2 linked regions of the Caenorhabditis elegans genome follow. The protein of the gene in region 2 purifies or fractionates together with the protein of the main gene of each other region. This does not show direct contact. Each region holds a gene or a part of one and is shown on either strand. Other genes may lie near its edges.

Region 1 (5,928 bases), on a different chromosome or scaffold from region 2:
AACAAAACTGTATGTGATTTTTGACACCACGGAACCATTAGAATTTTATTTGAATTCGGAAATAATATCTCCAATATTAAATTCGTTTTGATTGAACTTTGTTTTTCAGCTACAACAATGCAAATTCGAAGTCGGTGATTTCGTCGACGTCGCGATTTCCTTGCCAAGTCAAGGACGTCGTTTCAATAACCGGGAGCAGGGAGACCGTTTCGATCATCGTCAACGCCAACGTAGTCCGATTCGCTAGACGCCTAACTGTGTGTTAAAATTCAATGATACTCTTCTGTATTTATTAATGTGTCGATTCTTTTTTTTATAACGTGCAATGTAATATTCTGCGTAAATCATGTTTTCCTTTACAATTGTTCAACATACTTAACAATTTACAACAAAGTTTACTTTCACATTTACTGGTCAAAATTGCAAGCTATTTAATTTTAAAAAAGTTTTGTTTTGTGATTATGCAAAAATCGGAAAAATGATCGCGATCAAACTGCTTTCAGCGAAAACTAAAATTTCTTCTCGAATAATTTATTGCTTAATAAATGATAATGGACGGGGGGTAGAGCAAGTAAGATTATTGAAAATCGAAATTTCCAAAAACGTTCTAATTGGAAGTTTCTTTCGCCTTCGAAAACTCCTAATAAGAAAGTTGGAGGAAATTCGCACAGAAAAAAAGGCAGGTAAAACAGGAGTATCTACTATTCAAACTATGTGTCAATGTACTCTACTCTAGATTAAATTACAAAAGGATTCTTAGTTGAAATTATAAAAACATAAAGGGGAATACGATACAATTATGGGGAAAAATGTAATAAAGAATGTTCAGAAAAACAAAAGCATGGGAATTTAAGTACTTGTATAGAGAGTAGGTATAGGGTAGTGGATAAAAAATGTTGGTAATATGTAAAGGGGGTGAATACGTGACAATAAAAGAGAGAATCTCGGGATTACGCCCAGAAGTTTCGCTTCGGAATGGTCATTCCGTTCATTGCAACGGACATCTCATCAACAATGGCTGCCGCCAGTTCTTCTCGCATGTCTTCGTTGATGAGTTCCGAATGGTCTTTGATGATGCGGTTCTCAACTGCTTGCAAATTCACGTAACGCCTGGAAACATTTGTTTTTGATAAAGATTTTTAGGAAAATAAACTATTACTGATGAATTTTGTAATTGTTGCGTCCTCGTTTAGCCAGATTTTCTGCCGCATAAAGAACATCTGGAACCGATGGTGGCTGGTAGGACACTTGATGACCGAATGCGCGGAAGTACGTCAAGTGCATGAGCTCGTTTTTAGACCATTTGGCATCATTGACAAGGATCGTGTACTTGCACGGACGAACGGTACCCTAAAAGAAACTTTCATTTAATAAATTAACTAATGAACAACTTACAATAAGCGGCGTCTGTGAAGACAAAATGAACTCGTCGTATCCGTAGGATGTCAGGACATTCTCGACACATGTTCCAGATGGGATGTTCTGATCCGTCGCTCTGTTGCCACTGATACATGATGGAAAAACGCGAGCATGTGAAGCTCTTTGTGCGATGATCACCACGAGATGTGGACGGTATCCGGGCTGAATCTTGTCAAATGTTCGTCGCATCTCTTCGACTTCTTCCTTAACACGATTGAAGTTTCCTTCTCCAGCACCAACACGATAGATGACGATTCTTGTTGGGAGTGTCTTCGAATGCTCCTTGTACGATCTGACACACTTTGGGAAGAATTCATCAAGTTTTTGAAGTTTGTACTCCTTTTGGGTTTGAAGGTATGTGAAGCCTCCGAGCTGCGTCGAGTTGGTCAGGGAATACGAGACTCCAACAACTGATGGCTCACCATCCATTTGTGATCTACTGCGATCGAACAAAGTGCGTGATGCGCCATGAGAAATCTCGAATCCGATGAATTGTACATGTTCGAGAAGTTTCTTTCTCAATGTTTCATTGTTTGAGCACACTGCTTTTCCACGCACAGCATTCGGGATCTCGACGAAGAAGTTGGTTCCACCACACTTGAGGTTGAACTTTCTCATGACGTTGTCAATCGTTTGGCGTCCACCTTGACCTCCCATCATTTTATCGACAGTCTGTTGACACAATTGGATTGTTTGCAGGCCAATCGATTCCTCAAAGTATTTGAGTATGTCGTGAACATCCGGCTTCTTCTCCCTTGCTATTCCAACAAGAATGTCCACTCTATCATCGAGCCATTTCTTCATCAGATTTTGGATAGCAACGGAATCACTGGAGTTCAATTCACGGATGGACCAATCTCGCGAGTCCTTTTCGACCGTGATTCCATTGTCACGACAGAAATTGGACAGCTTGTCGCAGAAATCTCTGAAAATAGAATATTATAAAGCAGAAGAAAACAACGTTCGACTTACTCGGCCTGTCTCATTTGGATACAGTTGTCAAAGACAACAATACCAATTTTTCTGATCCGTGCTGGTTCGACAAACTTGTCCTGTGTGCGGAACGCTGGACGGCTCATGTCAGGCATGTAAGTCTGGCCCTTGAACTTGATTTGAGCTGGTGGGAGGAGCTTCGCAGTCATTTGGATTGGCTCAGTCGACATCAGTTTGATTCCGAAAGCATCCATGTACTTATTTTGTTCAAGCTTCAAGTTGTCGCGGAGAATATCTTGAACCAACTTCACATGATGCTGTGGCATAGACGCATTTCTTCCTGTCATCGCCGATTGTACTGTCGGGCTCATCTTGTTGACCTTGATCCGCTGGCCTGGAGCAATTCGAAGCAACTCCATTGGGAAGAAAGATTCATGTTTGAATCTTTTTGAGACGACGAGAGGAAGTCTCGGATATTTCAGCTTGATGTTGTACTGCAACAGGAAATATTCCGCCACGGTGACCTCGCGTTCTCCCTTGTCGTCCTTCATCATGAACGAAGTGCTACAAAACAAATTGTTATCACGCTGATGATAACTATCGAATAACTTACTTCTCAGCATTGTTCTCGGCAATCGAGGATACGCGAATAAGGTTACCCTTCAAGTGAGTGCATTCCACGTCCAATCCTTTGAGTGCTTCTTCAATGCATCGCTTCGTGTTTCCTCTTTCGCCAAAAGCGTGTTCCAACTCAGCAGCATCACTCGGAGAGTAGTCCGCTCCATTTGAAGAACCACTGTCTCGACGGGAATCGTACATGTCGCGACGTCCTCTGCTTTCATCTCGGTACCTGTCGTTGCCACCTCGGTTTCCATAGACACCACGAAAGTCTCTCGAGTCGGAACGGCCGCCACGGTATCCACCACGAGAGTCTCGCGAGTCACTTCTTCCGTATCCGCCTCTTCCACCGCCTCCACCTTTCATTTCGGATAACTTGTTGCTTGAAAACTTGATAACTGATGTATCCTTGTAAAATGGAGAAATCTTCGTATCAACCGTCATGAAAGCTTTGCCACCTCCGTTTTGCGATAGACGAGATACTTTCGCAAAACCTGAGCGGATCTCCGAAATAGCATCAGGTTCCGAGTGTGGCGGAGAAAGACGTGGGAATGTGGCATTACCAAATTGTAAGTAATCCTCATTGTTGAGCTTTTGTGAAGTGACGATTTCGATAATACGAGTCAACTCCATACGATTAGCCTCCTCCTGGGCAACTTCTCCTTGGGTGTACACAAATCCGGCAGGTTTGAGAACAACAAGGTAAGAATCGTCCTTTCTGCGAGACAACTTCGACACGAATTTCCATTCTTCCTTCGGGAAGTCATCGATCGTCAACGTGACTTCTTCTTGATCGTCACCAGTGTAGACTCCCTCCGGAAGATAGAGAGTCGCAGCGCAGTCGTAAGCAAGGAAGTGGTGACTCTTTCCACTGAACTTCACCAGAAGCTTGTCATGTACTGTTCTCATGATGTAGTATTGTGCCAAGCGACGGTTATGGGAATTGACACTGGAAAGTACTGATTTTGAGCGGTTATACAAATTAAATACTTACTCTCCCTTGGCCGCCAAAACTCCAAGGTTGGCATTGATCTGTTTTCCGTTGCTGGAACAGACGATGACGTCAACTTGAAAGCGTTGGATCTTGTGGGGCATATCCTTGATGTCCACTGGAAACATGTTCATCTGAACATTCATCGTGTCCATCGTTGCGAAAGAGTCCCGTCCAATTGGTGTTGTTGACTTCGGAGTAGAGAACATTGGTGCTGAAAAAGACAATTTTGAACTCCTAGGCATAATGTTGATTCTAAACGAACCACTTCTCTTTGACGTCGGTTCGTCCTTGTCCTGATTCATTCGGTTGTCTCGTTTGGGAATCCTGTTGGAAGACGAACTTCCCATAATTTTGTCGAGCAAGTCGGCCATGTTTGACTGAAATAAGAAACGATGAAACGAAAAAACGATGCGAATTTCAGATGTAATTGAGATAAAACAGTGAAATTTACTAAGAAAAAGTAAATGAAACAAAAGCTTTACCGTCCTGATTGAGATTTTCAAGTAAAATGAGAAAAAACGCAAGGAGAGAAATGAAATGAAAATAAATAAATTTTAGGCCAGAAAATTCGAGAAAACACATCCGTGGCGGTACAAAAGTTCAAATCGTGGCGCCACATGCGTTGTAACAATAGAGCGCGCTTGCATTGTGATCTCTTCGAAAAATTTCACGTCTAGAAATCGAATTTTATTAGTTTTCAAAAACTTAACGACTATTCTGAACATTTCAAATAAAATAATAGAAAACAATATTTTTAAAAAATTAATTTGTTATGCTTCAATAAATATTAATTATTTAATTCATTTCTACAATCAAAACGATGCTGGTTTTTCAAGTTTTCTGCTTTTTCGTCTCTTTTCTGGCAAATTCAATAAAATGCGACATAATTCATCTCAAACATATGCCTAAAATTCTGAAGGAAAAGGCGTTGCTCGAAAAGCCGATAATTCCAAACAGGCTGCTCCAGCCATTCCTTAATGAATCAATTGCTCATATTTTGATGAATCCGTTAGCTGAAGTGAAGACGAATGCGACGGAAATTAAGTTTCTAAATTATCTAGAAGATAAAAAGAAATATGAACCCGATTGGACAATTCGAGAACTTGAAGATAAAATTGTGAGCTTAATAAGTCATTTTTCAAGTCTAGAAAAGAGTTTCAGAGCCTATCAGAACTGGTCAAGACTTGTCTAGAACACCACTCGTTTCTAGATCTTCCAGATTTATTTCCTCGTTTTCTGTGTGGTTTGTTAGCAGTGTATAGGGAACAGAACACGACAAGTCTTCCATATACTGGATCAATATTTTCTCGATCATCAAATGCAGTAAAATTTCTAAATGATCCAGAGAATTATCCATGTCATTCTATGAATATGACTGATGTGGTGGCACTGGTGCCAGGAAGAATATACAGTGGATGTGTCAAGGATACGGTATCCTTTTCAACAAAATTCTGAAAATCCAGTTATCTGTTTAGGACCCTGAAAAATTCAGTCAATTCGATTCCGTCTTCATCATGTCTCATCCATTCCCAGATGTTCAAAAGTGTCAACAACCTGTGTCAGTGATGCCAAAATGCGAACTGCGATCGATGCTAGTGCAACACAAGATATTGTATCAGCAAAAAGATTGTTGCTGCGATTCCAACATGTGTGCCGTGCTCATCTTCACTCAGACCTCTTCACTGACTCCGCTTGTTTTAAAGACGATTGATTTGACGAGAGAGACGATGGTCCCGTTTCCAGTGACAACGACAGAGATCTCTTTAAATTCAATGTTTCAATAAAGTCAACAATTTCAATAACGCATAAAATGTAAACTCAACAGCAAAAATTAACAAAAAAGAAGATTCAGAATAAAATGGGATTAAAAAAAAAGAAATTAACTACTTCTTTCGTTCATAGGTCCATTTGTAGACGGCTGCTCGCATAGCTTTCGCCTTTTTGACCTTTTGAGGCTTCAATTC
Region 2 (3,785 bases):
TTCATCCTCTTCATCATCATCGGAAGATGAGGCTATGCCAATGAATTCCTCGATGAAAGTTCACCCAAGAATAATGCTCAATCTGGCAGTTTCAAAGCGCCGGAAGCTTCTCGACATGAAAGAACGCGACTTTCGATGCGAAATTCTTCAGAACTATTTTATTCAGCGACTGACAAGGCACTTACGCGACTGTCGGAACAATAGGATTGCTAGAAAAAGATCGAGAAGTTTCGTGATACGTGATAGTCAAAGCTCAACACTGTCCCGCGATGAGGAACAGAGTGCGCCAAGTTCCAAGGTTACAAAGAAAGCCGACAAGAAAGAGTAAATTTCTTGCTTCTGTGATCCTATAGTTTCTTTCTTAATGCCTGTGTCATTTCTTTAATAAATCTAATAACTCCAAATAGTTTTGTAAAAAACAACAACGTGGAACTACATATAATTAGGTATACATAAATATTTTTTCAATAATCTAGCATCTTGAAGTTTAATGGAATTCTATGTAGCACGAAATTTTTTCAAATTGTTTTATTAAAACGTGCCAAAAAACCATTCGGAAAAAAATGAACTGAAATTAAGCCGAAATTTGTGTTGAATTACTTCCGAAATCCCTTTCAACATCTTCTTTTGTAATTATCCCTCTTTGCATGCTATTATCATCTCCACGAACCCGATCTTTATATCGAAGACGTCCATCGCAAGCACGATTGTAGAGACGAATATTTATGTGCTGTAGCATTATAAGTTAAAGAGATCTGCAGAAATTAATAAAATCAAATTTTCACCTGCTTGTACAGACTCAAAAAATCAGAACCACAATGCTTCCCAACATCTTCGAGAAAGCATTTACTTTTTGTCTGGATGCTCACGCAGTCGACTTTGTCCGGATTTTTCTGAAATTAAACTTACAGAATCAATGCAAAATGCTAAAGAGTACATTTTTGAGATAATCCTTAACACATTCAGAAACTTGATCCGGGGTTTTCTCAATAACTTCCTTCAATGTTTTCTCACAATAATACATTGGTCCTAGATGAAATACGTCATCAATGCACTTGTCCAGTTCCTGATAATTGACAAAATCCATGTAGCATCCCGTATTTTCCATGCAAACCTGAAGGCATTGTGAAAATGTCAAAATGAGATTTCAGCTAAATTTAACTTTTTAAAATTTGAAATTTTGAACCACTTGAAAACATTTTAGAACGATTATTAAGAGCTCTTATTATGAAATTTGGTTGTTTGGAAGTGTTTTGAGTGGAAATCTGGAAATAAAGGTACTTGTGTATTATTTCCCCTCAGTTTTTAAAATAAACTTTTAAATAAAAACGTGTGGTGTTTTTGTATTTTTAGGCTTAGGAAATAACCCTTTCTAAGCCTAAAGAATGAAAATGGACATCACGTTTTATTAAAATGGATAATATTAAAATGAGGGGAAATAATACAGAAGTACCGAAATAAATTTTATTTAGCGGAAATGGAGCACACTGAGCTAGAAAAATATTGTTTTTTAAATTCAAAAAAATATCCAAAACCCCACTTATTTGAAAATTTTATCGTGAGCTGAGATCTCAAGATCTAGCGAATACTTTTACATGCCTGTATTTCCATATGTATTACAAACAAATCTTACAAAATAATCATCACAATGCTTTCTGAGTTCAACAAGACTCATATTTTTGGTCTGTTCCGGATTCCACGCAATTGAATTATGCCTCCAATAATATTTAGCACCTTCCTTAAAATTATTCAGCATTTAAAAAAGCCAAAGACACCCATCAAAACTTACAAATAACCTGCAATACTTTATATTACTACGTCCGGGAAAAAATGAACATTCTGACTTGAAATAGTTCACTCCATTACTTGAAAAAACAGTTGAAATTGGAAAAAGTAAGAGGAATATGTTCTGGATTAACATTCGGAGCTCAAAATGAAAAGAGCAGCAGACAAGCTAGAAGCAAAGTAGAGAGAACTAAGATTGTGGATGTGACGTCAAACGTTTTCAGCGGCAGCTGCTCAGCAAGCAATCAGGTGCCATTTGTCTAGTTGTTCGATTTGGTGGATTAACTACATTTATTACATGGAAACTGTACAAATATTAATTTTTTTTCAGCTGAAAAGTCTGTTATATTCAGTAATTACGGTTTTTTTTTCAAAATTATTCTCTTACAAAATCCTCAAATATGAGCAAATTCGCGGTAATTAATGAACCATTTCCAAAAGACACCATTTTTGTTGCAAAATTAGTTCATTTTGTGTAGAATTCAAAACTTTCCGCAAGTTTAAAACAATGAAAGTCTAAAAAACAGTCTTTCTGTCTTAATATTCGAAAACTACTTCCTAAATCCAATCCAGGCCTGATAAGTTTCTACAAAACAAAGCAAGTCGTTGCGATACCATCTTCTCGTTTTGCGATATGCGCCTTTAAGATCGTACCTTAATAAAGCAAACTGTTTTTCTCCCGAAAAAGCATACTTATCATCTGGTTTTTTTTGCTGAAAATGTCCAGAATTCGTTCTAATAACGACAATATTATAATATTAACAGGTAATTTATTTTTTTAATCTATTATATCTTGCTAAATTTGAATTCGTCAGTAGCTTCAATGCTAAAAGCGGAATAACAATTTAAAAAAACTTTAATAAATGTTTATTTTTGAGGAAAACAACTCTATAAACACCAATTCATTGTTAAACATTACAAATGAACATTTTTTGGGATTTTTTTTCAGATGAACAACGAAAAACAGTTGGTCGCATCGCCGGTCGTTCACAGAACAGAAATACATCGAAAAAAATTGCCGATGGCCCATATTTTTTGCCGAGATACAGTTCGTTTTAATATATTTTATGTATTTTTCTGCAGGAAAGCTTTTACATCAATGTTTTCCAATAAAAAACTAAATAGTTAATTTCAGGAATTCGAGACAATGCAGAGAGATCAGTAGGTGCACGTTTCAAGAGTCTTCCACAAAAAGAACAAGACGAAGTAGTGAATGAAGCTTTTTCGAATCTTCGAGAATATTTGAAAAAGAGGGAACCTTTCTATGTTAGTAATTTTTAAAAACATGGAATTTTACTGATTATTTTCCAGGCAAAGCTCCGGAAAGCTAACTCCAAGTATTCCTCAAAGCCCAAAGAAAGAGAAAAATCTGTCGACTCCAATGACGAAGCTGATAGACGCAATAAGGGAAATAAGAAAACTCAAAAAAATGCGAGTAAGAACTGCCAAATTGAGAAATCGTCGAATAATTCTGGAATTCTCAAAAAAAGTGGATCAGGAATCAGCGTGGCTTCTAAACCAAAAAAATCAGTTGCATTTGGTACGGAAATCCAAGAGAAGTCAATTTTCCAATATATTACAAATTTCAGCACCAGGAGTATACGAAGATTTAAGCACCGACGATGATTTAGAGTTTTTAAATTCTGTGATTGTCAACAGTGATCGTCCAACTTCACAGTGTGGTAAGTAAACTCACATCAACATTAATGAAAGACACGATTTAATTTCGCGAAATTTTGCAATTTTGGCTACAATAATACGGTATTTAGTCTAGACACGACAAACTTGTTTTAAGCACAGGTTTAACGGGTGTGCGCCTTTAAAGATTACTGTAGTTCCGAATTTTTTTCTGCCGAATCTTCATCGAGTTTAGTTTTCCGATTTTCAGATAAATTGTTTTTGTTCCAGATAATCCGGCACGTAGAATGTGTGGAAGACCGCCAACAAAACACAGGGACACTGAACAGTCACAGGAAATCACTGGAAGCAAGAAGCAGAAA

What was found.
Region 1: the proteins of D1086.5 (region 2) and hrde-1 fractionate together in Caenorhabditis elegans (co-fractionation; one large-scale study listed by BioGRID). This does not show direct contact.

Annotation. Positions count from the first base shown.
Region 1 is NC_003281.10:4,171,819-4,177,746, forward strand, and holds hrde-1 (Argonaute protein hrde-1), read right to left. Parts: upstream 4,342-5,928; 5' UTR 4,336-4,341; coding exon 4,227-4,335; intron 4,176-4,226; coding exon 3,965-4,175; intron 3,920-3,964; coding exon 2,966-3,919; intron 2,917-2,965; coding exon 2,392-2,916; intron 2,345-2,391; coding exon 1,396-2,344; intron 1,351-1,395; coding exon 1,160-1,350; intron 1,111-1,159; coding exon 951-1,110; 3' UTR 519-950; downstream 1-518. Other genes in the region: C16C10.4 (putative histone deacetylase complex subunit SAP18), read left to right, coding at 1-9, 110-247; C16C10.13 (Rab3 GTPase-activating protein catalytic subunit), read left to right, coding at 4,965-5,081, 5,126-5,395, 5,440-5,748; utp-11 (putative U3 small nucleolar RNA-associated protein 11), read right to left, coding at 5,848-5,928. UniProt on the Caenorhabditis elegans protein: Argonaute protein which is involved in the endogenous small interfering RNA (endo-siRNA) pathway and is required for RNA-mediated gene silencing (RNAi) in the germline.
Region 2 is NC_003283.11:14,088,377-14,092,161, forward strand, and holds D1086.5 (T20D4.11-like domain-containing protein), read right to left. Parts: upstream 1,984-3,785; 5' UTR 1,922-1,983; coding exon 1,790-1,921; intron 1,739-1,789; coding exon 1,634-1,738; intron 1,115-1,633; coding exon 938-1,114; intron 894-937; coding exon 786-893; intron 731-785; coding exon 575-730; 3' UTR 515-574; downstream 1-514. Other genes in the region: D1086.19 (uncharacterized protein), read left to right, coding at 1-328; him-5 (High Incidence of Males (increased X chromosome loss)), read left to right, coding at 2,505-2,550, 2,735-2,833, 2,921-3,051, 3,097-3,325, 3,375-3,467, 3,694-3,785.